2 linked regions of the Arabidopsis thaliana genome follow. The protein of the gene in region 2 interacts with the protein of the main gene of each other region in a biochemical or structural test. Each region holds a gene or a part of one and is shown on either strand. Other genes may lie near its edges.

The links.
Region 1: the proteins of AT1G05020 (region 2) and alpha-ADR form a complex in vitro, tested with the Arabidopsis thaliana proteins (one study listed by BioGRID).

The regions. Positions count from the first base shown.
Region 1 is NC_003076.8:7,582,733-7,594,694, forward strand, and holds the start of alpha-ADR (alpha-adaptin), read right to left. Parts: upstream 5,591-11,962; 5' UTR 5,295-5,590; coding exon 5,169-5,294; intron 4,427-5,168; coding exon 4,295-4,426; intron 3,944-4,294; coding exon 3,818-3,943; intron 3,605-3,817; coding exon 3,542-3,604; intron 3,460-3,541; coding exon 3,362-3,459; intron 3,282-3,361; coding exon 3,074-3,281; intron 2,876-3,073; coding exon 2,804-2,875; intron 2,724-2,803; coding exon 2,631-2,723; intron 2,243-2,630; coding exon 2,141-2,242; intron 2,042-2,140; coding exon 1,944-2,041; intron 1,398-1,943; coding exon 1,316-1,397; intron 1,183-1,315; coding exon 1,094-1,182; intron 952-1,093; coding exon 846-951; intron 763-845; coding exon 697-762; intron 672-696; exon of another isoform or gene 323-671; intron 221-322; coding exon 114-220; intron 33-113; coding exon 1-32. Other genes in the region: AT5G22785 (uncharacterized protein), read left to right, coding at 6,911-6,973, 6,984-7,112; AT5G22780 (Adaptor protein complex AP-2, alpha subunit), read right to left, coding at 7,368-7,524, 7,611-7,690, 7,806-7,877, 7,964-8,044, 8,264-8,389, 8,477-8,563, 8,668-8,832, 8,936-9,016 and 10 more. UniProt on the Arabidopsis thaliana protein: Subunit of the adaptor protein complex 2 (AP-2). Adaptor protein complexes function in protein transport via transport vesicles in different membrane traffic pathways.
Region 2 is NC_003070.9:1,433,204-1,445,003, forward strand, and holds AT1G05020 (ENTH/ANTH/VHS superfamily protein), read right to left. Parts: upstream 4,561-11,800; 5' UTR 4,143-4,560; coding exon 2,181-4,142; 3' UTR 1,952-2,180; downstream 1-1,951. Other genes in the region: AT1G05030 (Major facilitator superfamily protein), read right to left, coding at 5,121-5,312, 5,393-5,507, 5,608-5,696, 5,782-5,855, 5,955-6,101, 6,299-6,455, 6,532-6,625, 6,695-6,807 and 4 more; AT1G05035 (uncharacterized protein), read left to right, coding at 11,780-11,800. UniProt on the Arabidopsis thaliana protein: Adaptins are components of the adapter complexes which link clathrin to receptors in coated vesicles. Clathrin-associated protein complexes are believed to interact with the cytoplasmic tails of membrane proteins, leading to their selection and concentration.

The sequences.
Region 1 (11,962 bases), on a different chromosome or scaffold from region 2:
ATGTGGAAAGAAGAATAGGAATGGTGGGAGTCCTGAGAAAAAAAACGAAAAAAAGCTATTAAGACATACCCAAAGACGAGAAGAGCGCAATTCAACATTTGTGTTGTCCTTACGATATTGTAGGAAGCTTCTCATGTAAGATGCTAAAGAGTTCACTTGCACTGCATCCAGGTTGTCTAGCTAGAAGGTGACCATACTCCCCCAAAATATAAGCACTGACCTGAAATTCCGAAAGAAATTATAAGCATTGTTAATTTGTATTTTGCAAAGAATTTAGATACAGATAAGATTTTGTCAGCATGTGTAGCAAGGTAGTAACTCTAAATTCCCAAATTAAGCAACAACAACTTAAGGAAGGATTGTTTTAGTTTTATATGTTAACTCTGGTTGTTAATTTTATCACATGGCTGATACTCTGATTTTGAACAAGGCTTCCGAAGCAACGACTCGTTTCTATTTGTGGATTTGCTGAGTAGTGAGAAGGGTAAGATGCTGACTGGAGAAGCTGCTTTTTCAAACCTAAGTTACTTGAGAGAGAGACCAATGATCTGACTTTAGGAAGCCTTGCTCAAAATAATAGAATCAGCCAAGTGATAAAATTTACCACCACAGTTAACCTGTAAAACAAAAACAAACCTTCCTTAAGGTGTTATCTGCAATATAAGGAATTTGTTATGGGAAGCGAGAATGTACAACCTTCACCATAGTCTCATGTATTGCGATTTTGTCCAAATATTCTCTTGCTTTTGACGCGGCGTAAGGCTGTCAGGTCAAAGAAATATGTAAGCAACTTTGAATGTCATAAATAGGATAAACAATATATTTTTCCTAACAATTATATAAACCTGCAGGTCTTCATTATTTGTTACAAACTGAACCACACGAAACCATATGTCATCGCTAACAAAATCCCCAGCCTTGTCGATCAACTGAAGGATCACATCAACATACCTGAAAACATCAAAATTAACATCTTTAACCAGTTGATTTGCAAGGATCTAAAGGTCACACCAAATGGATAATGCATGTTACTGTAACCAAATTTGTGTGCATGAATGAAGTGTACATATACTTCGTATCGAGTTATCCTCACCATGATAGATCAGGAGCAAACTTCTCAGCAAGGATAGCAGCTTTAAGTGATAATTCTTCCCGCATGGAAAACTCTGCTGTGCTAAGATACTGCAATATATTTTTAGCTTCCATGTAAGCTTAAACACTACACAACTTAATCCTTCCTTTCTGTTAAACTTCACAAATCATAAGGAGACTAAAAATCAAGAAATATTAATATAAAGTAAGGTCAAAGACTTACCTGCAGCAACTCTTCGACTATATCCTTTGCATTTGACACATCACACATCCCATATAATAAATCAAGAGCACGCCTACGAATACTGCAGGAAAGTTCAACCAATAGTGAATCTGACACCATAAGCAAAAGAACCAAGAGATGATAAATCAAACTATATGTTTGTAAAACGGAAGCCACCATTTGCAATGGAAATAAGATCAAGACATAATGGACTGTGGTACTTATCCATCTTTTACTAACAAACGTCATCGAAATAGTGCTGACCCACCGGCCAATAATATAATAATATAATATTTCTTATGTGACCGTATACCACATATAATTATACCTATAGCTTATCACAAGAAAACAAATCAACAAATAATGTTTCACTAAAAAATATAGATCCCATTTTCTTAAAATTTCATATATACTACCCAAATCAAATAATTTTAATGCTGACAGAAATAATCTTATTCACAACTACTATAGAGACAAAGTAAAAAACGGTATATTAAATCATAAGAAGTAAGACCGATTTGATGATTGAAAAACTGTCGTACTGGTTCCAAATTAGAACAGTAACGAGATACTGATCCGGGTTCACAAGCCAGAAAAGCTGATGCTTAGATGGCAAATCTAAACCAACCTGATGTCAGGGTCTTTCAAGGAGGTGATTATCTGAGACTGATGCTTCTTTATGATATCTTGAACATCTGTGACCATCAGCATCCGCGTCATATTTTCCTGTAATTTTGTCAAAAAATGCATCATGAGAAACCACCAACCACTTCACAAACTACTCCAGCTAGGCTTAGATGCAGGAAGTGGTATGCAAGATCTCACCAAGCCTAGATATCTGATGTTGGGCTCACGGACAGAAATAAACTTGCCAAGAAGAGCAACACACTGTGACATCATTTCCTTCTCAGCATCAAGATGCATGACCTATATCAAAACACATTAAAAAGTTAGGAGGTTGCACACTAAGCCAGAGAACTGTTAGGAACAATTAAGTCAACTATCCATGATAAACCTCTTAGAAATAGTGGCGAAACCTTCAAGCAGAGCATCTAAATTTATTTTACTTTCACACAAGAAAAACAACAGACAAAGAATATCGTACAATTAGCTGCAAGCAATTCAAACACTTGAAGTTTCTCTAGCAAAGCCAAAAAATATATTTTAAACGTCCATGCACACATCAGTAGTCTGCTTTGAGTAAATGCGTCTTTACAGGACGTTGAGCAGGGGTGAAGGGGAAGAGAGAGAAAAATAGGTGCCCACTAGTAAAATTCATGGTATCAACATTTCCCCAGCTATCCGACGAACTTACCAGGGATAGAGCTTCAAACAGCACAGCATGAGACGCATTGTTTTTATTCACATTTTTCACAACATCTGTCCCCATCAATATTCGCTGAAGGACCTGAAATTTCCATGAAATGCCATGCCATGAGAGGAAATTCAAAGACATATATTACAGATTTACACATGAAAATATTGAACCTCAAACAGAGCTTTTCTGGTACTGGGATCTTCAATGGTCGGGAAATATTGAAGAGCCCTCATTGCCTTAACCTGTACTAACCAAAGATATATAAGTATCCACGATATCTTTAACTGAGTAACAAAAATACACCAAAGCTGGGCCAAGCCTCTATTTTCATAAGCTAATTTCACATAAAATGTTTAAAATGCACAGGATTTGTGAAAAGGATGCGATTAAAGAATATTTAAGCTATTAAACAAGAGTGAATAAGCCGAGTTAAGTCAAACCTGGAGCCAAGGAGATGGGATGCCATAGTATGTGTACTCCTGAGGAACATCTTGGTTCCTAGCAAGGCGTTCTAATATTTTGACACATTTAGGTAGACAACTTGAGTACGCCTCATGATTATTAGATACCAGAGCTACAAGAAGACTCGTAGAAGACGTCAAGACACCAAGATCTCGTTCATCCAAAAGTTGTGCCATACGATCCGCCCTGGAAGTATACGACAAAGAGAATATGAAAGATGCACTAGTAAAATCAAAGAACCAGTAACCCCACAGTGTTATACACACCAGCCATCCACGTTGACAGCATCAGGATTTTTTCGGAATAAGCGCAGTAGGCACAGTGCTGCTTTTTTCCTTACAAGAGGTCTGCAACTACTAGAAATCTGCAGCAAAGAGACCCCATAACATAATATGTTTAGTAATATTGGAAAAAAATATAACCTCTCATCTTTAGGAGTCACTTACAAGTAGCTTTTGAACATCAGGTGCCAATGATTCAGCAAAATCCCTTCCACCGATATTTCCAACCTACAGGAGAACGTAAGCATGGCAAGGTAAGAAAGCTAGAAAGAAAGGACCAGTTTCATGAAGTAAGTGGCTCTGAATCGTGAAATGATAGAGCACAAAAGACATAATGTACCAAAGACTTCCATTAAAACAGTCATTTAACAACATCTTATAATCAGAAGAACCTAACTATGCTCTAAAATCTCAATACAGGGTGGACAAAAGACCACATACCAAGGTCAGTGCTAGGCACTGGAAAGTCTCATTCCGACCAATAATATCGTTCCGCACTGTATTTATTGCCAACTTCAAAAAGTCATGGTTCTCATTGAGCAAGCAAGATGTAACAATGTAGCCAACCTGTAATCATGGATGAAAAGTTCAATACCTGCAAATTAGTTAAGGAGCATGAAACAATATAAATTGGAAATACAAACCCTTGAGATACAATGCATGGTTCTGGTTAAGAGTTTCTAAGATGTTACTAAGTAACTCGTGCTTATAAGTAATTGTCTGCAATACTTTCCCAGGTCAAGTCAAGTTGCAAACGCATGAAATGGTATCTAGATCTAACTGTGTGATCTTCAATGAAACTTTCTTTGTTTCAGCTTGATCAATAGAATATATTTCAGCAAACACCTCCATCTATTATCTTCTCCTAGCCTTACAAAGAAAAATTTCTTTGTTTGAGCAAACAAAACGTTGGTTTACCTGCTTTTCTGGATACTTTGGCGCAGATATAAGAGAAACCGCCTCCATATGGCCAAAATCCACATCGTAGCCTAGCATATGTATATAAAGCATTTTCCAGACATATTTCTTCTTTTTATATGGTGTCAAAACCTGCAAAAATAAAACAGAATGTCAAGTAATCAAAGAGTTCTTGATTAATTCATTTCTAACATGAACCCCGAAAAAGAATAAGTTTAATGTTGGTCCAACTGGAAACACATGGATCCACTACAGGCCTGCTACAGCTCTGCTACGTGTAAGATGGAACAAGAATTTCACTCCAGAAGTTCTTACAGCAACAAAGCTTAATCTACTTCGTAATGAGCTATTCAAAATTTTCCGTGACCATGATTTAATTTCTTAGACCATCACTACATAACCGAATTTACTGCCAGACCATTCTTTTCTTCTAGTTCCTAAATGTCATCATATATTCAGTAATGAAATTCCAAGTTGAAAGCAATAGTAGTGATGTTTCAAAAGGTAGAATAATTGCTAATCTACAAGGATTTGAGCTAGCTATACAACGGCAACATTATACTGCCTATCTATTTTCACAATTGGTGTTAAATCAAAATTTATTGCCTCAATCCGATAAAGTAAGAAACTACAAGCTCCAAAACTATCCACTCGGCATGTGACCAGTGACTGTATCTTTGTTTCATCTACATTCTTATCTAACTCCCTAATCAACCTAATAGCTCTAACATTCGATTGCATTGGCATTGCAACTGCGAAGGATAAATCTCCAATATCTCTAATAAACCAAAACCTCAGCGGATACTCGACACTGAATTACCTCTCTAATGAGAATCAAAACATAGAAAATAGAATGGAGAGAATTGAGAGTAACCTTCTCATTCTTGAAGCATGTACGAATGTTTCCGAGCTCCTTATCAACTCGTAGTCTCTCCGCTTCCTTGTTCTGGCAATTACGAACGTCGCTGATAAATACGGAGAGACCTCTCATTCCGGTCATGGTTGAACCAAATCCTCAAATCCACCGTGCTCCGCCGCCTCACACGGCGCAGATCCAAACTCGCGGCACCGGATCTAACTACGAGATAAACCACAGACTAAAGCTGAAGCATAAGCAATTCGAGAGAGGTGAGATCGAAATCCCAATCTAGAAACGGAAAATGGCACCTTCAATCGAAGAAATTCAAAAGGAGAGACTGATCTTTGGAGAAGAGAGACACGCCTGCGGGAGAGAGACGAGAGACGACTTTTATTTTTCTTTATTTACAACTTTGACTATTCAATTTTGTGTAATTCAGTTTTTGTCTGTTTTGAAATTGGAATCCGAAATTGACCCGTCGAAAAACAGAATTAACGCGTCTAGACATTTGGACTAAATTTGAGGATTTATAAGTTTGCGTAATATTTTGTTAAAAAGTGTATCCTTCTGCCTTTTTGGGTAATATTTATTTACTGCTGTTTCTGGTTTCACTTTTTCATTTATTTTTAAAATGACTGTTTTCTGTCGCGGTCAATGCATTCAGTTGTAATTCAATGTACCATGAGAAAATCCTTAACAAAAAAAATGTACCATGAGAAAATCCGGTTATGAATTCGGGTCAGGTCAGGTCATGCAATGGTTTAGCTGGTCCCAACTTTTTTTTTTTTTTTTTCGTCAGACATGGTATTTGTTGGTATTAGTGGGAACGAAACAAATGGTTTATACGCAGTGCTGATTTGATTATTTTTTGTTATGAGCATTTTATAATTTTACTCAATGTATTATGAAATCTTTTGAATAAAGATTTTAGATACTCTATATTTCAGATAACAATTTTGCTAGAATCATTGCAACCAAATTACTCTGGTGAATAGGAAAGTATTGTCACTACTCTCGTTTTTGAAATACTAAATGTGTCTCATAACAAGATCATAATCTACAAGACGATGAATAGGACGAATTGTTGAGCTAGAAAAGCAGTGACGGCGATAGCGTATGCTCCTAGGATGTTGTTGTTTGGCAGTTTGAGTATCGAACTCGTAAACTTATATAACTAATGGAAGCACCAACCATTAAACTACAAGGCTTTTATATGATTGTGATGATAAAGCATCAGCTTGCTGGGCTTTAGATTTGGGTCGGCCCTGCTTATTGAACATTTTTAGTTTTATGGAAGATATTGTCCCTTTGCGTTAGCAACATCGGCTGATTTCTTAGGTATTTCGAACAGCTCCAATATCTCGGTTGAGTTTTTCTTCAAGGCATGACAAATTTTAGGGTATTCGATACTTTAAGAGAAGTTGCTTCTTCAACTTGAGCGACATTGATGTTGGTGAAGCAAACTTGCAAAAGTCAGACTTACTCAAATTTTGCTTAATCACTCTTGTTTCACAAGCCCCGGATCTAGGGTTCTTATATTTTTTTTTATTTGCAAAATTACAAATGATATAGTAATATAAAAAAATCATACTTTTGTCAATTACAAATTATGTAGTAAAAACAAAAAAAAATCATGCAAAAATTGATAAAACAGCTTTTAAATCCATAAGCAGTTTGTAAGAAAATTAAAAATAGTAAAAAAAAAATTTTCTTTCAATTATATTCTTCAAAGTAATAGTAAAAATCTGGTTGTATATATGTCGGTTGAATGTCCCACCAAGGCCAAGTCCCCACTCTATTCACACCTCAAATTAGATCAGGTTTTTACAGGTGAAATGCTATGCGTTGGATGTGTTTTTGCAATTTCCCCCCTTTATGACAACATTAAAATCTCTCAATGTGAAGGCTGGTGCGAAAAAACAGACCTCCCATCAGAAAACTCATGGAGAAACAGATTGAAAATATATAGGCACAAGAACAAGCTGATACAACCACTGACCTCACAATACAAATGTTCAGAATGAATGCAAAATTTCTTACCTAACGCAACCCGCCCGCTTTGGATAAACGGCACAAATATAATCAAAACTAGCTTTTTTCTCTCCCTTGGCTCTACATTTACTCTCCCATCATTCCATATTTTCGCCATTACATTCTACAATAACAGAAAACAAACTTTTCGACATGTGCAAGTAATCTTTTATCCCAATGAATTTAAAGTAAGCCAGCAAGCATAGCTCCTGGATCATCAGCTAAAGCCGCTGGGCTAGGCGGTTGAACTGCTGGTGATGGTGCTGGACCTGCTGCTGGAACTAGAGCTCGAGATCCCATTGGAATAGTAATTAATTGTTCCTTGATGAATTCTTTTAACCTGTAGATAAAAGGGGTCAACAATTGCAAATGAAGAAAATCTGTGATCGAGGTTGGGTTTGTGATTAAGAGGCAGATATATCATACTCAAATGTAAGGGTAGGATCTCCCGAGCCTACTGTCAATCGTAGTTGGGTTCTGTCCGCTGGGTCTGTTTCAATTCTTGCCTGAAAATCGCAAACCAAGGAAAATGTCACACGTCATTACTATAAGTCTTAAGAAATTTTAGAAATTGGAGTGGCAAGTGCCAAAACCAGGAAGTGAAACTTGGTGAAATCTCACCAAACAGAGCATGGCTCCTGTAGTTTCAGAGTAGAAGGTTGTGCTTGCCACTAGATTATTAGGGTTTGGATCCTACGACAAAAAACAATACAAGTTAAGTTTGAAGTATACATGTGTGCATGAGGAATGAAGGTTTGAGATCGTAAACAACTACTTACAAGCCCAGGGCATATCGTCACATGAAAACTGTTGAACAGATTTGCCATTTCCGGAAGAGCTAGAGGTCTTACACCTCTTACCTGAAAGAGATTGCAGTATCAGATTATATAACGCATAAAAGTAATGCTGCATTAACGAGCATGTGTAGAAGTGTTGGAAGTTCTCTATAAGTGTTGTAGCGAAAGCTAATTCACTAATTTCATTGAAAAGAAAATTCTTAGAAGCCTTTGACTACTATCCTGCGCTACTCAAATACTTTTAGTTTGATATTTGATCAGAGAAGCTGTGGAGATACATACCACTTCCTGAAGTTTCAAGGGTGGCCCTGAGATTGCTCTCCATTGAGGGAAGAACTCTTCAGATGTCAATTGTAGAGGTTGAAGAAACTTATTCAAGGTTGCCGGGATGCGTAATTTGGCACTGACCTATAAAAGATCCAGCATATCAGGTAGAGTCACAGATACTAAATATACCATTCACCAAAACAAGCTAAGTACTGTTGCAGTACGTACCACGTTTGTACCAAACTTGTAGGAGAAATCCAAAACTGCAACATCCCTACTAGGGCGGATGTTCATCACTTCAAGCGGAGATTGTACCTATAACCATGAAAAAAATTGCAACACTTAGTACATTATGCATAAATGAGTAGAAAATGACGGATTGAGTAGTCAAACTTAAATAAATCAACAAACAAAAGTACCTGTGCTCGAGGAGGAATTGTATCAGGTACTGGAGACAGATCCAGTCTTAAGTGGGCAGGGGGTAGTATCAGAGCTTGAACTGATGTAAGTGGAGAAGTATTCTTGTTTCCCATGAAGAGAACAAGTCTCCCATGGTGTCCTCTCCATTCAGCTTTGATGCCAATCTGAGGAATACAAACAATCAACAAAATGGGAACATAAGAAAGCTCGGAGGCTTGTCTGCTGCATACTTGAATAAATAAAAGCAGAAACTAGAAAAAAACAAACCTGGATATGAGGATCCTCGTATAAGACACCACTGTCTTTCAAACATAAAGCATGAAATCTCTCAGCAATATTTCCGATAAGCTGTATAAGAAAACAAAACAGTATAAGAAAAAAATACAAGCATGCAAATATATTATGGAGTACAAAAATGGCTCGGTTTCTTTTATTATGGATCTTGAATTGTGAAACAGAACATCTCAGGTAGCATTCCACCTAAGTAAACGTTACATACCATTTCCAAGTAATAAATACAAAAAGACGAAACAGAAAAAAATATGGCTATAGTTAAAAAAAAAACTAGGGAAATAATGAGCTAGCAAAAGTAGAAGTATAATGCTAACACCTACTATGCCAAAGAAAGCAAAGGAATAAGAAAAGATTACCTCCACTGTATTTGTTTGCTCTTCAACAGGTACAATGGCGGAACCATCAATTTCATCTGGAACTCCTTCTGCCCCTACGGGACCATGTTGTTCATATGAGACAGCTCCAGGTGGAGCCTCTATTGCAAGAGGACCGAGTAGGTCACTAAGGAGATCAGGTGATGGAGTTTGTGGATCTATATTACTTAAAGTTCCATTGGGATGTGAGAGAGATCGAGCCACTGACTCAGGGTCCTGCTAGACATGCAATGAAAAACAGACTGTCAGAGATAATAAGATAGAAGTATGTAGTATATAAAGGCAAGCACATCAAAAATGTTTTGTCAATTGGGGCCTAGAAAGAGAAGTACTCACCGTGCTTCCACTTAAAATTGGAACCTTCAAAGGTGGTGGTGCCCCATTAACAGGCTGTGGGTCAGCCAAAACAATAGCATTTGAAGGCTGTTGTTGTGCTCTAAGTTTGATGGCACTCTGGTCTGCGGTATCTTCAACGTTTTCTGCCTTTTTAATCAATGAAGACTATGGAAGAGACACGGAAAAAAAATCCAGCATCAAAGTCGTTTAGCACAAACTTCCCGTCAAAGTAACTTTCATAGAATCATAAAATAATTTCACAAACCTGGCGCTCCGGAAATTTTGGCATCTCAGCCAATACATCCATAAAGGCAGGCCCTTTTTTACTCAATTCAAAATATTCAACTGCCCTCTGTTGTATCTCCACATCGATACAACTCTCATATCTGCGAAAACAAAACTCATTTAGGAAACTTCATTTGGTTACCAAAAAAGACAGTACATATGATGACAAGCAAAACATTGAGGAAGGACAACAAAGTTAGCAAGTCTCACTTCTTAAATACAGCCCAAACTTTTTTTTGCAGTTCTGGATCCGGGGGTTGAGCGTGCATAAGAAGCTTTGCATATGTAGAAAGAAGAATAGGAATGGTGGGAGTCCTGAGAAAAAAAACGAAAAAAAGCAATTAAGACATACCCAAAGACAAGAAGAGCGCAATTCAACATTTGTGTTGTCCTTACGATACTGTAGGAAGCTTCTCATGTAAGATGCTAAAGAGTTCACTTGCACTGCATCCAGGTTGTCTAGCTAAAAGGTGACCATACTCCCCCAAAATATAAGCACTGACCTGAAATTCCGAAAGAAATTATATTTATTGTTGATACTAAGCACTGTTAATATTGTACTTTGCCAACAATATGGATAAATCAGAATGTGTAGCAAGGTAGTAACTCCACTTCCACAATTTAATTATATTATAATTAAAAGAAAATTTGTTATGGGAAGCGAGACTGTACAACCTTCACCATGGTCTCATGGATTGCAATTTTGTCCATATATTCTCTTGCTTTTGATGCCGCATAAGGCTGTCGGATCAAAGAAATTTGTAAGCAACTTTTGAATGTCATAAATAGGATAAACAATATATTTATCCTAACAATTTTAAGAACCTGCAGGTCTTCATTATTTGTTACAAACTGAACCACACGAAACCAAATGTCATCGCTAACAAAATCCCCAGCCTTGTCGATCAACTGAAGGATCACATCTACATACCTGAGAACATCAAAATTAACATCTTTGACCAATTGCTTGTGTAAGGATCTAAAGGGCACAGCACATGTCTCTATAGTGTGCATGAAAAAATGTACATATACTTCTTGTCGAGTTCTCTTTACCATGAAAGATCAGGAGCAAACTTCTCAGCAAGAATAGCAGCTTTAAGTGATAATTCCTCCCGCATAGAAAATTCTGCTGTGCTAAGATACTGCAATGTATTTTTGGGTTCCATGTAAGCTTAAACACTACCAACTTAATCCTTCCTTTCTGTTAAACTTCACAAATCATGAGGGAAGGTCAAAGACTTACCTGCAACAACTCTTCAACTATATCCTTTGCATTTGACACATCGCACATCCCATATAGCAAATCAAGAGCGCGTCTACGAATACTGCACGAAAGTTCAACCAATAGTGAAACTGATACCATTAGCAAAAGAACCAAGAGAATATAACTATAAATCAAACTATATGATTGTGTGAAACAGAAGCCACCATTGGCAACGGAAAAAGGATTGACACCTAATGGACTAGTACACATCCAATCTATTCATCTTTTTCTGACAAACGTCATAGAAATAGTACTGACCCACCAGCAATAATATAATAGTTCTTATGTGACCCGTGTCCGTTTACAAATTGCAACCACAGATAAGTATACCTATAATTGTTTATCACAAGAAACAAATCAACAAATTATGTTTCACTAACAAACATGTATATATACAGATTCCATTTTCTTAGAGTTTCATATATACAACCCATATCAAATAATTTCAATGCTGACTGAAAGGATCTTCAATTCACAACTACTCTAGAGACAAAGTATTGAATTATAAGAGCTAAGACAAATTTCAAGATTAAAAAAATTGTCATACTGGTTCCAAATTAGAGCAGTAAAGAGATACTGATCAGGGTTCACAAGCCAGAAAGCTGATGCTGAGATAGCAAATCTAAACCAACCTGATGTCAGGGTCTTTCAACGAGGTGATTATCTGAGACTGATGCTTCTTTATGATATCTTGAACATCTGTGACCATCAGCATTCGCGTCATATTTTCCTGCAATGTTG
Region 2 (11,800 bases):
CCTAAATATACTCAAAGGTAGGTGATAATAACCTTATCGTGTGACATAAAGTCATGATTACTATTCATCACCTTTAATTTAGTAACTAGCTATAGAAAACTAAAAATAATTTGGGTCGGAAAAAATATAAAAAATTTATGGTTATACAAAATATATGACAGCGACGTATATTATTACTCAGTCAGACGATTCATTGTTTGACCCGTTTTCTTCCTTTTACTTTTAGTGTGGATTAATCTTCCTTTTCACATTTCTTCCTTTTACTCTGTGTATAATAATAATAGCTTATATATCACCTTTCACTGAACCTTTTCTTGTTTTCAAGTAACTTAAACAAACTAATGGTTGGTTTTTGTTAAAAAAATTTGTAGACCGCATCCATCTAAATCATAATAATATACAAAATTATTTAGTCTTATGACACAGCAGTTTTCATTCGTTTTGTATTAATTTTGATGGACCAATAGTGGTTTATTTGTGTCCGTTGATTACGAAGCTGCTCTTCGGCCGGTAACAACATCTCTGTATGCACGTCTATATTAAGAATCATGAGCTATCACTTTTGGCCGTTTATCAGATCTAATAAAATTTCCCATTTAAGCGGAGAAGTTCAGATTCGATTACGTGGTTCCCTCTTTGGCCCAAAGATCACCTCTAAGAGTTGATAAGATATTTTTCTTTCAAATTCTTATAAGGATTTAAAAGCAAATGCAATGGAAAAAAAAAAAAAAAACATTCATTGCCTTACTTCCTTTCTATTTGGAGAAAGGTGGATCACCTTTTTTTTGTTTTTGTCTTTGATCAACATTCATACTTTGTTATAGAAAAACTGATATTTGATAATAGTAAGACATGCTTAACTTTATTTTCCACTTCCTCAGTCACAAACAAATCTCACGTCATTATTATGGAGCCTCAAAAAGTATAATATCACAGACGGGTTTTGGCAACTAATGTATTGATTTGAAATTTCTTAATATTTGCTATTTTATGGGACTATTTTAAAGTTGATCAATAAGCAAAACAAATAAAGAAACGTGTTTTATTTCATGTTGACTAACATTTTGACTCGAAAGCGAAACTTATGATAGAAAAATAGGCTTAGCAGCCGGTGTTATATTCAATCATGTATGACTTGTAAGCAAATTTTTACTAAATTACAAAACAACAACTTGAGAAGTCAAGAAGTTAAATCAACTTGTAATGAGAAACCTAAGAAAGGTGGAATCCTAAATTCACATATACAGAAGCTTTTACCACTGTCAAAGACGAAAACGACTCTAGTCAATGGCCAATGGGGGATAAAATTTGTGGTGTATAACTATTAAAAGAATTAATATTTGTGGTGGGCTATATACTAGAAAGAGATGTGTTATGATGATTTTGGTTTGGTAGATCTTTCTCCCTCGTGGCCTTGGGGTCAAGCTACAGCTTTGGTCAATCTCATGTTATCGACACCACAAAGCCAACTTGACCTACTAGTGGACCTCCTTAATTTATTCCATTTGGCTTCCCTCTTCGTTATCTTCCACCGATATACATTCATTTTATCATTCGCATTATCACGGATGCATATCATAACACATAAATACATGCATATCGGAAAATAAAATGCAAAAAATTGTTTGCCAGATATACGCATCTAATACGCATATCGGATACATTCATCTAATACACACACATTAGATGCATGCATCTGTTGTGTGATTATGTGAAAACTTGTTATATTAATATAGACTAAAAATGAATACATAAATATTTTCAAAAATACATAAACTAAATGCTACATAACATCATCACGATGATCAAAATGCTAGCTAAATTTCAATTCCCAAAAACTTCAAAGAAAATAACATATTCAAAAGTAAATCCCAAAGTGTACCGTGTACGTAAATGTATTCAGAAGGTGAACTTAGATATTTGAGTGTTATTCGTTGAGATATACTTGAAAATCAAATTCTCAATGTGATTATGATACAAGACACACAAAATACATCGTGTATACACAGGAATGCAAGTACGAAGATAGAATCCGCGGAAATATCTTTTTAATCAAAGAATTTCTGAATTTCACATTTCTCTAAGTTATGGAAAAATGAGTTAAGAGTTAAGTTGACAATGTAACAAAAGAAAAACTCAAAGAAACATCTCAACCTCTGTCTAGCCAAATAAATTTTGTATCAACTCAAGTGCTTGGCTATGATCTTTTTCTGGTTCTGCAACCATATCTGCTGTTCTTGCAATACAGATTGCTGATTTACCCCTCCATTTTCTGAAAATGTCTCTCCGAACCCAAAACTCTCAAATGTTGTAAACGGGTCACATTTCATAGGCAAAGTCTCCGTGGCCTTAAATGTTGGTGTAGAAGACGGCTCAAAATCATCAGGAACGTTCACCTGAAATGTCGGTTCTGGCTGAAACCCTGTCAAAGCCAAGCCACCGAACGTGATCATTGGTTCTCCGGCTGTAGCTAACTGCGCAACTGGTTCTTCCAAGAATGGGTTGTATTGGTCCGTGGCGGCTTGAAACGCAGGCATCGGATCATCTAACCCGAACGGTACTATCGCCATCGAGTTATTACCCTGCACCTGCGTAGCAGTTTCTTCTAACGCAAGCAACCAATTCCCTGAATCTCTCTGATGGTCCTCAGCGGTTGAAGGTTCCTCCTCAATCGTTTCTATCTTCTTCTTCGGATCATCTCTCAACATCAACGCCTCCCAAGGATCGAAAGTCTCTGCCTTTGAATCGTCTTGCTTCTTCTTGTCTTCAACATCTTCTGCTTCTGCCGTGTTACTTACGTCATCCAATGACAATAGGTCTAATATGAGATTGGAAGCAGAAACAGAGGGATTATTGGGAAGCGATTTAGTCGAAACCGTATCAAAATTATTCCCATTAGGATCATCTCGTCCTCCTCCGTATGGCTCAGAATGACAAGACATTGGAGGACTACTAGTCCCTGCTTCAGTCCTGCTCATCAAATCCTCCAACGAAGTACTACGAAACGACCCGTAATCTGAATACCTCTCCGACGTATCAATCGTGGAATCCCCAAAATCAAGCGAGCTTGAAACCGCTGAATCTTTGGACGATGGAGGCGGAGGAAGAAAACTATTCGGTGACGGATACAACCCTGAGCTCGCTGGAAACGACGATTGATCTTTTAAAAACTCTTGCAATGTCTCAAGAAGCTCTAAAGAGATCTTTTGAATGCTAGGATACTCCGATGTTCTTCCTATACCGATCGATTTGGAAAGATCGTAGAATGCGTTAAGCTCTTCGAACTGTTTCGAAGCTCGAACACAAGCTTGAAACGCATTGATGCAAGATTGGTATTGCAGATGGAAGAAACTGTCTAACAAAAGCGCTAATCCATCGGAAATGTCTCTGTAAAGATCAAAACTCTCTTGCATGACGGCGTAAAGCGACATTTTCACGAGCCTGTTGGCTTTCGCGTCTCCCGTCGGCCGCGTCGCGATTGCTCTGTCTAGTAATTTTTGCCAATACGTGATTTTGTCAAGAAGCATTACCGGTTTCATATCTCGAACCGCCGGTTCGTGGGATTTAATTCCGGCTTTGGGATTAAACCGGGATCTTGTTGTTGAGTTGGTGCTGATTCTTCCGGTTTGTTCTCGGTTTGTGTACCGTCTCTGTAATTTTCCGGTGAGGAAGCAATCGAGACGTTCGTCGAGGTAAAGCGCGAATGTACGGACGAAAGCAGTGAAATCCCAAGGGCACGAGTTCGAATCGTCGCGGAAGCTGGAGAGATTGAGGATTTTGGCGCCACGTTTCATGGCGTGGAGGACTTCGCGAGGGAAATAAGGATCACCGTCTTGGAAAATCCTGAGGACGAGGACTAGGGATTTGAGCGCGACGATCCAATTCCGTGTACGCCCGATACGGCGACCGATCGCGGCGGCGCAAGAGGCGGCGTGAGATTTCTTGGAGGATATGATTCCGAGGATTTCTGTTACGAGTCGATCGTCGATTGGGACTTCCTCGTCGTGGCTCGTAGCTTTCAAGATCGCAACTTCGAGAGTCGTGAGATCGCCGCCTCCGGTGGCTCCGTTAGCAACTTTGGCGAGGCTAATGCTTGTCTGATCTTTAACCGCACCAATCGCTTTTTTAAGCTTGCTCGGCATTGTCCTCGTCGTCGCGCTTTTAATTTCACCCAAACGTCTTCTTTGTTCCTCAAGGGGTTTTAATTTCTTAATCACTCTGGATTAGCGATTAATCACGAAGAATTAAAACCAAATTAGAAGATTTTCCTCTAAATTTTTTTCCTCTCTCTAAGGATTTTTTTTTCAATTTTTGTTCTTCTAAATATAGAGAGGAAGGCAGAATAAAATGGCTGGAGAGTCTCGAGACCCTTTCAAGATATAGCGTTGACTAATAGAGAGACTTCACACGCGATTTTGGCGCGTTAAATATATAATTGTGTTTAAATTCTTCTTCTTGTTAGAAGAAAAAGCATGATGCATAGAATTGTGTTCAAATTTCGAAAACTTATTATAATACAAATATCTTGTCAGTGTATTTATGTTACAAATTTTTTGATCGGCTAAAAGTAACATTCTCTCACAATTCCTTAAGAGTTGTTTCTACGAGCCTCATATTCGTATAGGTTATAAATTCAATGACAAGCTGTGTACGCTTTTTTTTTTCAGAGAACCAGCTAGCATCTTTATATTCAATATTCTTGGGATAAATTTAATATTATCAGAAATCTTTATCTTTGTTTGCAGACGTGCAAACCAGTATTATATATGAATATGAATATATAGAGATCATGAGTTATGGACTCACGATTTTCACCATGACATGGTAAGCATGTATAGTCTAGATCGAGACAATGTTACTACATTAAGCTATAAATCAAGAACGTCTTACCACTTGTAAATAGGCACAAACCTTTCATAAGTATGTATTTTGTGTAATCCTTGTCAACTTTCTTTCGCATTTTTTATAAATCTTTTCTTACATACCTAAGTATATCTATATACTCACAAGATTTCTCACAAGCTAATTTCCAGGCTATTTACATTTTACAACAACTGATGAAAAACTGATAAAAATTTTGAGGTCTTTCTCTCTTTCTTTCACTTATACCGTTTTTTTTTTTAACTCAGGTCGTCTCTGGAGTTCAAAGACAGTTCGATCTCTTCTAGTGATCGACCCTTTGTTTCCACCGTGAAGAGGTGTGAGAATGCCGCTGCCAACAATGATACTGAGCCAAAGCTGGCATAGACCGTTCCAACCCCGTATTTCTCCACCAGATCCAGGAAGAACAAACCAACCAAGAAGTTGGAGACCTGAAGAACATTTGCTTCGTCATTCTTCAAACTTCAAAAGGTTATAAAATGATTTATGGGAAAACTAAAAAAACACATACCCAATGTACAGAGAAGCTGAAACCCATGATTTTTCCACGCGTTCTGTTGCTGCTTAGCTCAGGGATGATGAGACCTGTTACAGGACCAGCTCCAATTGCAAAACTGAATATATACCTGTAACAGGACCAAACATATGATACGTTTCTGTCTTTTTTTGGGTACTATATGAGCTGAGAAAAGGAGACTAGTAATTGCTGGACTTCAAGCTACTTACATGAGTGTTCCAAGTATTGACAAACTCTGGCTCAGATCTTCATCCAAGGGGAAACCAACAGCATAAACAATAAGAAACATAGAGACTGCCTGTGACACCAAATCAATTCAATCAAAATAAGCTAAAGCAGTGAAAAGCAAAAGAGTTTATGTGATAAAAGAAAAAGATATTTACCATTCCCAAGTAGCTACCGATAAGAAGCTTCTTTCTTCCTTGCTTATCAATCAAATAAGACGCACACAGAGCACCTATTAGACCCAACAGTTCAGAAAAGGGACATTGTGATGGAAACAGTAGAAAAAAACAATCATCTAAATTTAAAGTTGATATAGGTGAGACTTGAGAACCTGCAAAATTTGTGACTCCAACATATAGACTTGCTTGAGCACCACTCGTGATTCCAACATTTTGGAATGTTAAAGATGAGAAATAAAGAACGCCATTTATGCCCGCGAATTGCTGTAGGACAAAAAGGGAGCCCCCAATGAATGCAACTGCAACCATTATATCAACAAGACATACAATTTAGCTACATAGATTTTTCATGTATGAAGTTATATATTCTCAGTTTCTTAGATCAAAGTCCTGGAAAAGGTTATTCTTAAACTTGAATGTTTTCAGTTTCTGATTTATGGTATAATATAACACCCTTAGAAGTTAGAACTAACATTAAAAGCAACCTTAACATGACCTCGTGAATGTGGTTTATCAAGGAGTTCCAGCCATCTGCTATTTAAGTTGGAGCCACTATTCTTCATAACCGACTGAAAATCTTCTACAGCTTTCTCGACTTCAGATCCTCCCCAGATGTTTCTTATCACTACTTTGGCATCATCAAGTCGTCCAACCTAAACAAGTATCATGAGACACGATTTCAACATGGAAAATCAATGCTTCCTCATGATTAAAAGAGGCGACTTATACCTTACAGAGCCAACGGGGACTTTCTACTGCAAATTGCATACCAAGTGCAAGAAGAAAACCAGGCATACTCGCTACATAGAGCATTGTCCTCCACCTGAACAGTAGTATACATGAGGAGAATGAAGTGAAGAGTGAAATGTATAGATAGCTAAATGAAGCTCACCAATGAGGGTCATCTTCTGCAGGAATCCCTAAGAGAAGAGAAAAGATTATCCCGAGACAAGTGCCAATTTGACATAAAGTTCCAAGGGAACCTCTGTATTTCGTCGGAGCAACCTATAGAATAAAAATGGTTGGCTTAATATCAGAAGTAACAAGACTCTTCAGCCGAACATATGAAATGCAAAATATGCTAAGCAAAAGAATGCTAAACCACAACTTATTGTACTGAGAGTCTGAGAGTACATAGGATCAATTTTAAGAAATGTCCTAGATCTTACAGCAGAAGAAGCCAAATAGTTAAAACATGAAGTTGAAAAGGAATCACATATTAGATTACCTCGGATATATATATTGGAACAAGAACTGTGTTGACGCCAATACCAAGACCAACAAGAAATCTTCCACATAAGATCTCATCCAAGGAGTGAGCTTGTGCACTGAGAGAAAAAGTAAAATTTAGTTATGCTGCTACCTCACAACTTAAAACATCATCATGGAATTGTTACTAACATAACGAAATCAAGATTCACCTTAGTAACAAGATATTACCTCACAAGGGCACCAAGAATGAGGGGTATCGTGAAAATCTGAAAGGTGCGTCGGTAGCCAAACTTGTCAACTAGTGGACCGGCGACTATGCTACCAATAAATGCACCGGCAATAAATATGCTCACAACAAGACCCTCAAGAATAGAATTGCCTTCAAACCCAAGTTCACGCGCAATAGACACGATGGGGCCATTCATCACTCTGCAAGAACAAACTGATAGTATTATAAGTACTAAGCTTTCGAAAAACTAATCCAGATCAACCTGACTAACTCATATTCTTCTCACTGGAAGCTAACAAATTGTCAAGACGGGGACAAATCAACACTCTGTAAAAACAATCTAATCAACATCTTTGTAAGCTCAAATTGAAGCTGTTTCTCACCAGCAATGTCAAAATGAAACTTTTTTTCGAATTCTGTAACACAACCAAGCATTAACACTACTACACGAACAGAGATTAATCTTCTGGTATAGAAATCAAACTAGGCCAGTGAAACAAACAACAACGACTGTTACTTCACAAATTTGGCAACAGTGAATTGGCTATATTATTACCCAATGTGATAACCAAAGAGAAAATTGGCCATAGAAGCAACTGATACATGAGGAAAAGCCGATAACCATCCCAAATCAGCGGAGAATTTCTCCGGCGGAACTGGCGATATCTCGTGATCGTCATCTGTTAAAATTTTGAATAAAGTTAGAATATTTCAAACAGATAAACATTGGCAAAGAGATTGGTAAGTCAATGGAGGTGAGAAAGCTGAACCTGGTTTCTTCGTCGACAATGTCGTAACCCGCTTCTTCCTCTTTGAAGACCGAAAGAAACGGGAAAAGGAAGAGGCTTTACGAGAGTGGGCGAGTCGGGTCGGGTAAGAAAAGGTTAATCGGTTCATAGAATTGGGTCGATATAGAAGTACGGTATTCGTCACCCACATGATCGGAGAGCTAGACTAGACGGAAGAGAGAGAAATACGTCGGCGAAGCGAAAATAATAAAATTTGAGGCGACGGAAAATAATAAACTTGTAAGCACGTGACACTCACGTGCTCAAATACTGAGTGATTTCCTTTTTAGGAATGTGACAAGTTTAGGCACTTTTAGAAAATTTTATTCCATTTGAGGCACTTTGCAGAGATGAGGCATTTTTTCAACTTTTTCATCGAATTTATGACAAATTTGCCCCTAAAAGTGAAAACGAAAATACTTTAGCGTTTGGAAGTTGGTATATGATGAGTGGGTCGTTGGATGGAAGTTGTAACTATTATCAGATTATATATATAATTTAATTACTCAAAAAAGTATAATGAATATTCTTTCTCTATTTGTACTTTTTTTCTTCGTCTTCTTCATCGTCTACTTCTTTTTTCTTCATCGACTCTTCTTTTCTTTCTTTATCTATCTCTTTCTTCATCTTTCAGTCTTTCCTTGCAAAATCAAACATGAGAGACTTTGTCAAAATCGTGTAGCTTCTATATTTCCCTTTACAGAGAAGCCTCTCTAGATTTAAGTGACGATTAGGCTTATTCGATTGGTTTCGGAGCGGCAGCGCTTGTGACTAACGACGGAAGCTTGAGTGTATCAGACAATAACATCTAGAGGTGAAAGAAGAAAATTTTTGTTCCCTCAATCTTACAACCAATCGATCCAGGTTTTGCGATGATTCTTCAATTCTACGAATAGAATTTAGAGTTTTGTTAGATTGTGTAAATATCTGATTCATATTAGCGAAATTGTGCTTGTGAAGACGATGAGATCGGTTGCAGATCGAAAGTTCCTCTTTCCTTACTCTCCTTTGTTTCAGATCTGTAGCAAGAAGGCGACGAGAGAGGCGGTGATAACGTAACGTGGGACGTTACTCGACTTACTTAATTTGGATTTTGAAATTCCACCTGAGAATTTGAACTCTCTCCCGAAAAAGAAGAAGAAATGGCAGCGTACATGGAAGAGATTCCGTGAGAACAAAAATTGTTCGGAGTAACCTCGATATTACGGGGTTACGGAGAAGCGAGGTCCTCGTTACTCTGTTCTATTCCATGGAGCACCAGATTAGCAAATTCCAGTATTGAATTTCATATCCATATGATCAGCTTGTTTGGTACCATTTGATTCTAGTTTGATAAATTGATGTCTCGTTGAACCTCTAAGCTAAGAGCACTTTACTTCGCACATGAGAATACATCATTTCCACATGGTCACATCTTGTTGGACAAGTTTTCATGGACACAAACTATCAAAGCATCCAACACGATTTCATTATGTATAAACTAATAATCCTATAGGTCTCCAAGCCCCAAGAACAATATGTAGACATTGCTTTCAAATAGCAACACTCAAAATCCAATTAGTTAATGATAGTTTGTATCCATTATAACTTGTCCAATTAAACTTTAACATGTGGAGTAATGGTGAAACATGACAAACACTTGAACACAAATGATTCATATGTAGAGCGTTCATCAATTTTTTATCGAATGAAAAAGAGTGTCATGATGATGCAAGAATCACAACTTAGTCAAAACAAATCATGCGTCTTTTTCTTATTCAACAGAGTATCCACAATAACAATACATTACTTACACAAAAGAACGAGACCCATCAAACATGCTTTCATATAAAGACAAAACCATACCAACTAAAACCCAAAATCTTATTAACATGCTTTCTTTCACGTATTCTTTTCTCTGCATTTGTTATTCTTACAGATCCATAATAATGTGTCCATTTCAAATGTGTTCATACGGAATCTTGTTTACTAAGCATATCCATTATACACCAAAGTTAATGTTTATCCATTTGTTCGATGCTAGGTGGATACACAGTCATGTTTTACACTATATCCATTTGGTCGATGTTACATGGATACATCTCTACTTCTTAATATCATATATGAACACGTACTTGCGGACTGTCAGCTATAGGAATCCGTCCATTACTCTTTGAATATATGTTCTCCAACTAATGAAGTGTTCTTGTATTTGATTTTGGTGAACAATGTTTAGATTTGGTGTTACTCATCTTTCGTGTATCTGTTTGTGCAGCTAAGACATTTCAATCTAAGAGATGTAAAATATAGAATCATTCATATGGTGATATTCTTATGATTATATTCAAAAATGGTTCATACAAGTGTGTAAACCCTCTACCCTTAACGGTTTGCACTAAATCCTAATTTACTTACCCTAAAATTAAACTCAAACCCTCAACCCATGATCTTTCTCCACTAAATCTGAAACCGTAAAAACAAACACTAAACTCATACAAAAAATGGTAATTTTACCGACCAATAAAACATATTTAAAGCAAATCAAAGACACAGGTGTCCATTGATGACTGTCCAAGCGGTCTAGTCCATGTGGTCATCTAATGACTTACGGGGTTGTTTCATTTCAATACACAAGTTTATACATGAACAATAATCACCAATTCAAACGCCAATTCAAAGTACATCATCGTTCATTTTTCTTTGACCATTATTCCACAAATGCAAATCCGACAACAAAACAAGAGAAACAATCTCAAAGACGTTACAGGCATCGAGGACGAGTCCTCACCGAAAGTAAACAAATATGAGATTCGCAGCTAATGACCCAGAACAGAAGATGAAATCGGATAAAATTATTTGGGCATGCACTTACCTGCATTGTTGAGCCGTCACGCATAATCGAAGAAGATGGTGGAAGTAATGGAAGAAGGATTGATCATTGTCAGTCGTAAGAGAGTAGTACGAGGAAATTGAAACGGTATTGGGAGGAGAAATCGATGTGTATTGACATTGAGAAGTGAGAAAGCAACAATTACGAAGATGCCAATGGATTATTTGAAAGCGAAATCGCCAAAGAGAAGCATGAACCATCTATTAGAAAAGGGAAACAAACAGAAATTGTAAAGTCGTCGTGAGGGATTGGGTGAGAAAGAGAGGTTTCTTACAAATTGATTTTCGTATAGAAATTAAAATTAGAGAATTAAACCGAAATTGGTTTGAGGGTAAAATGGACAATTTTTATATTAGAAGTGCCTTGTATTTTGAAAGTGTCGTATCTCGGAAATTGTTTGAGAAAAGTGTCTTAGAGTGTAATATTCTCTTCCTTTTTTTGCGTTCTCAGAATTTCCTTTTTATTTTATTTTTAAAATTCTTTATCAAAGTTAAATTTCCTTTTTTCCGGTGATAACCGTCGTTATAAATACTATACTAATCTCATCTTAAGGATCAAAGTTCTCAACCTCCGAAGAGCAAAACCCTAAAGTGCTATTTCTTCTTCTTCTGCTTTTAAAAACTTGAGTTTCTTCTTGAGCAAGTTATATCGAAGAGCCGTTATGAATCTCATTCTCGCTTTGAGAATTATTCGGTGAGTTCGTTCGTTCGTATCTCTTCTGCGGGTCTGATTTTATTTTTCTCCGACCAAGTTTTAGTCGATCATTAGAGATGGCAAGGAGGTGTTTAAAGGTGAATCTGGGATTATAAGAGATTCAACGTTACGGTGATGAAGTTGTGGCCGGAATTTGAAAGAACATGACCTGAAATTTACAACGAGATGGAGGAATTTTCTTCGTCG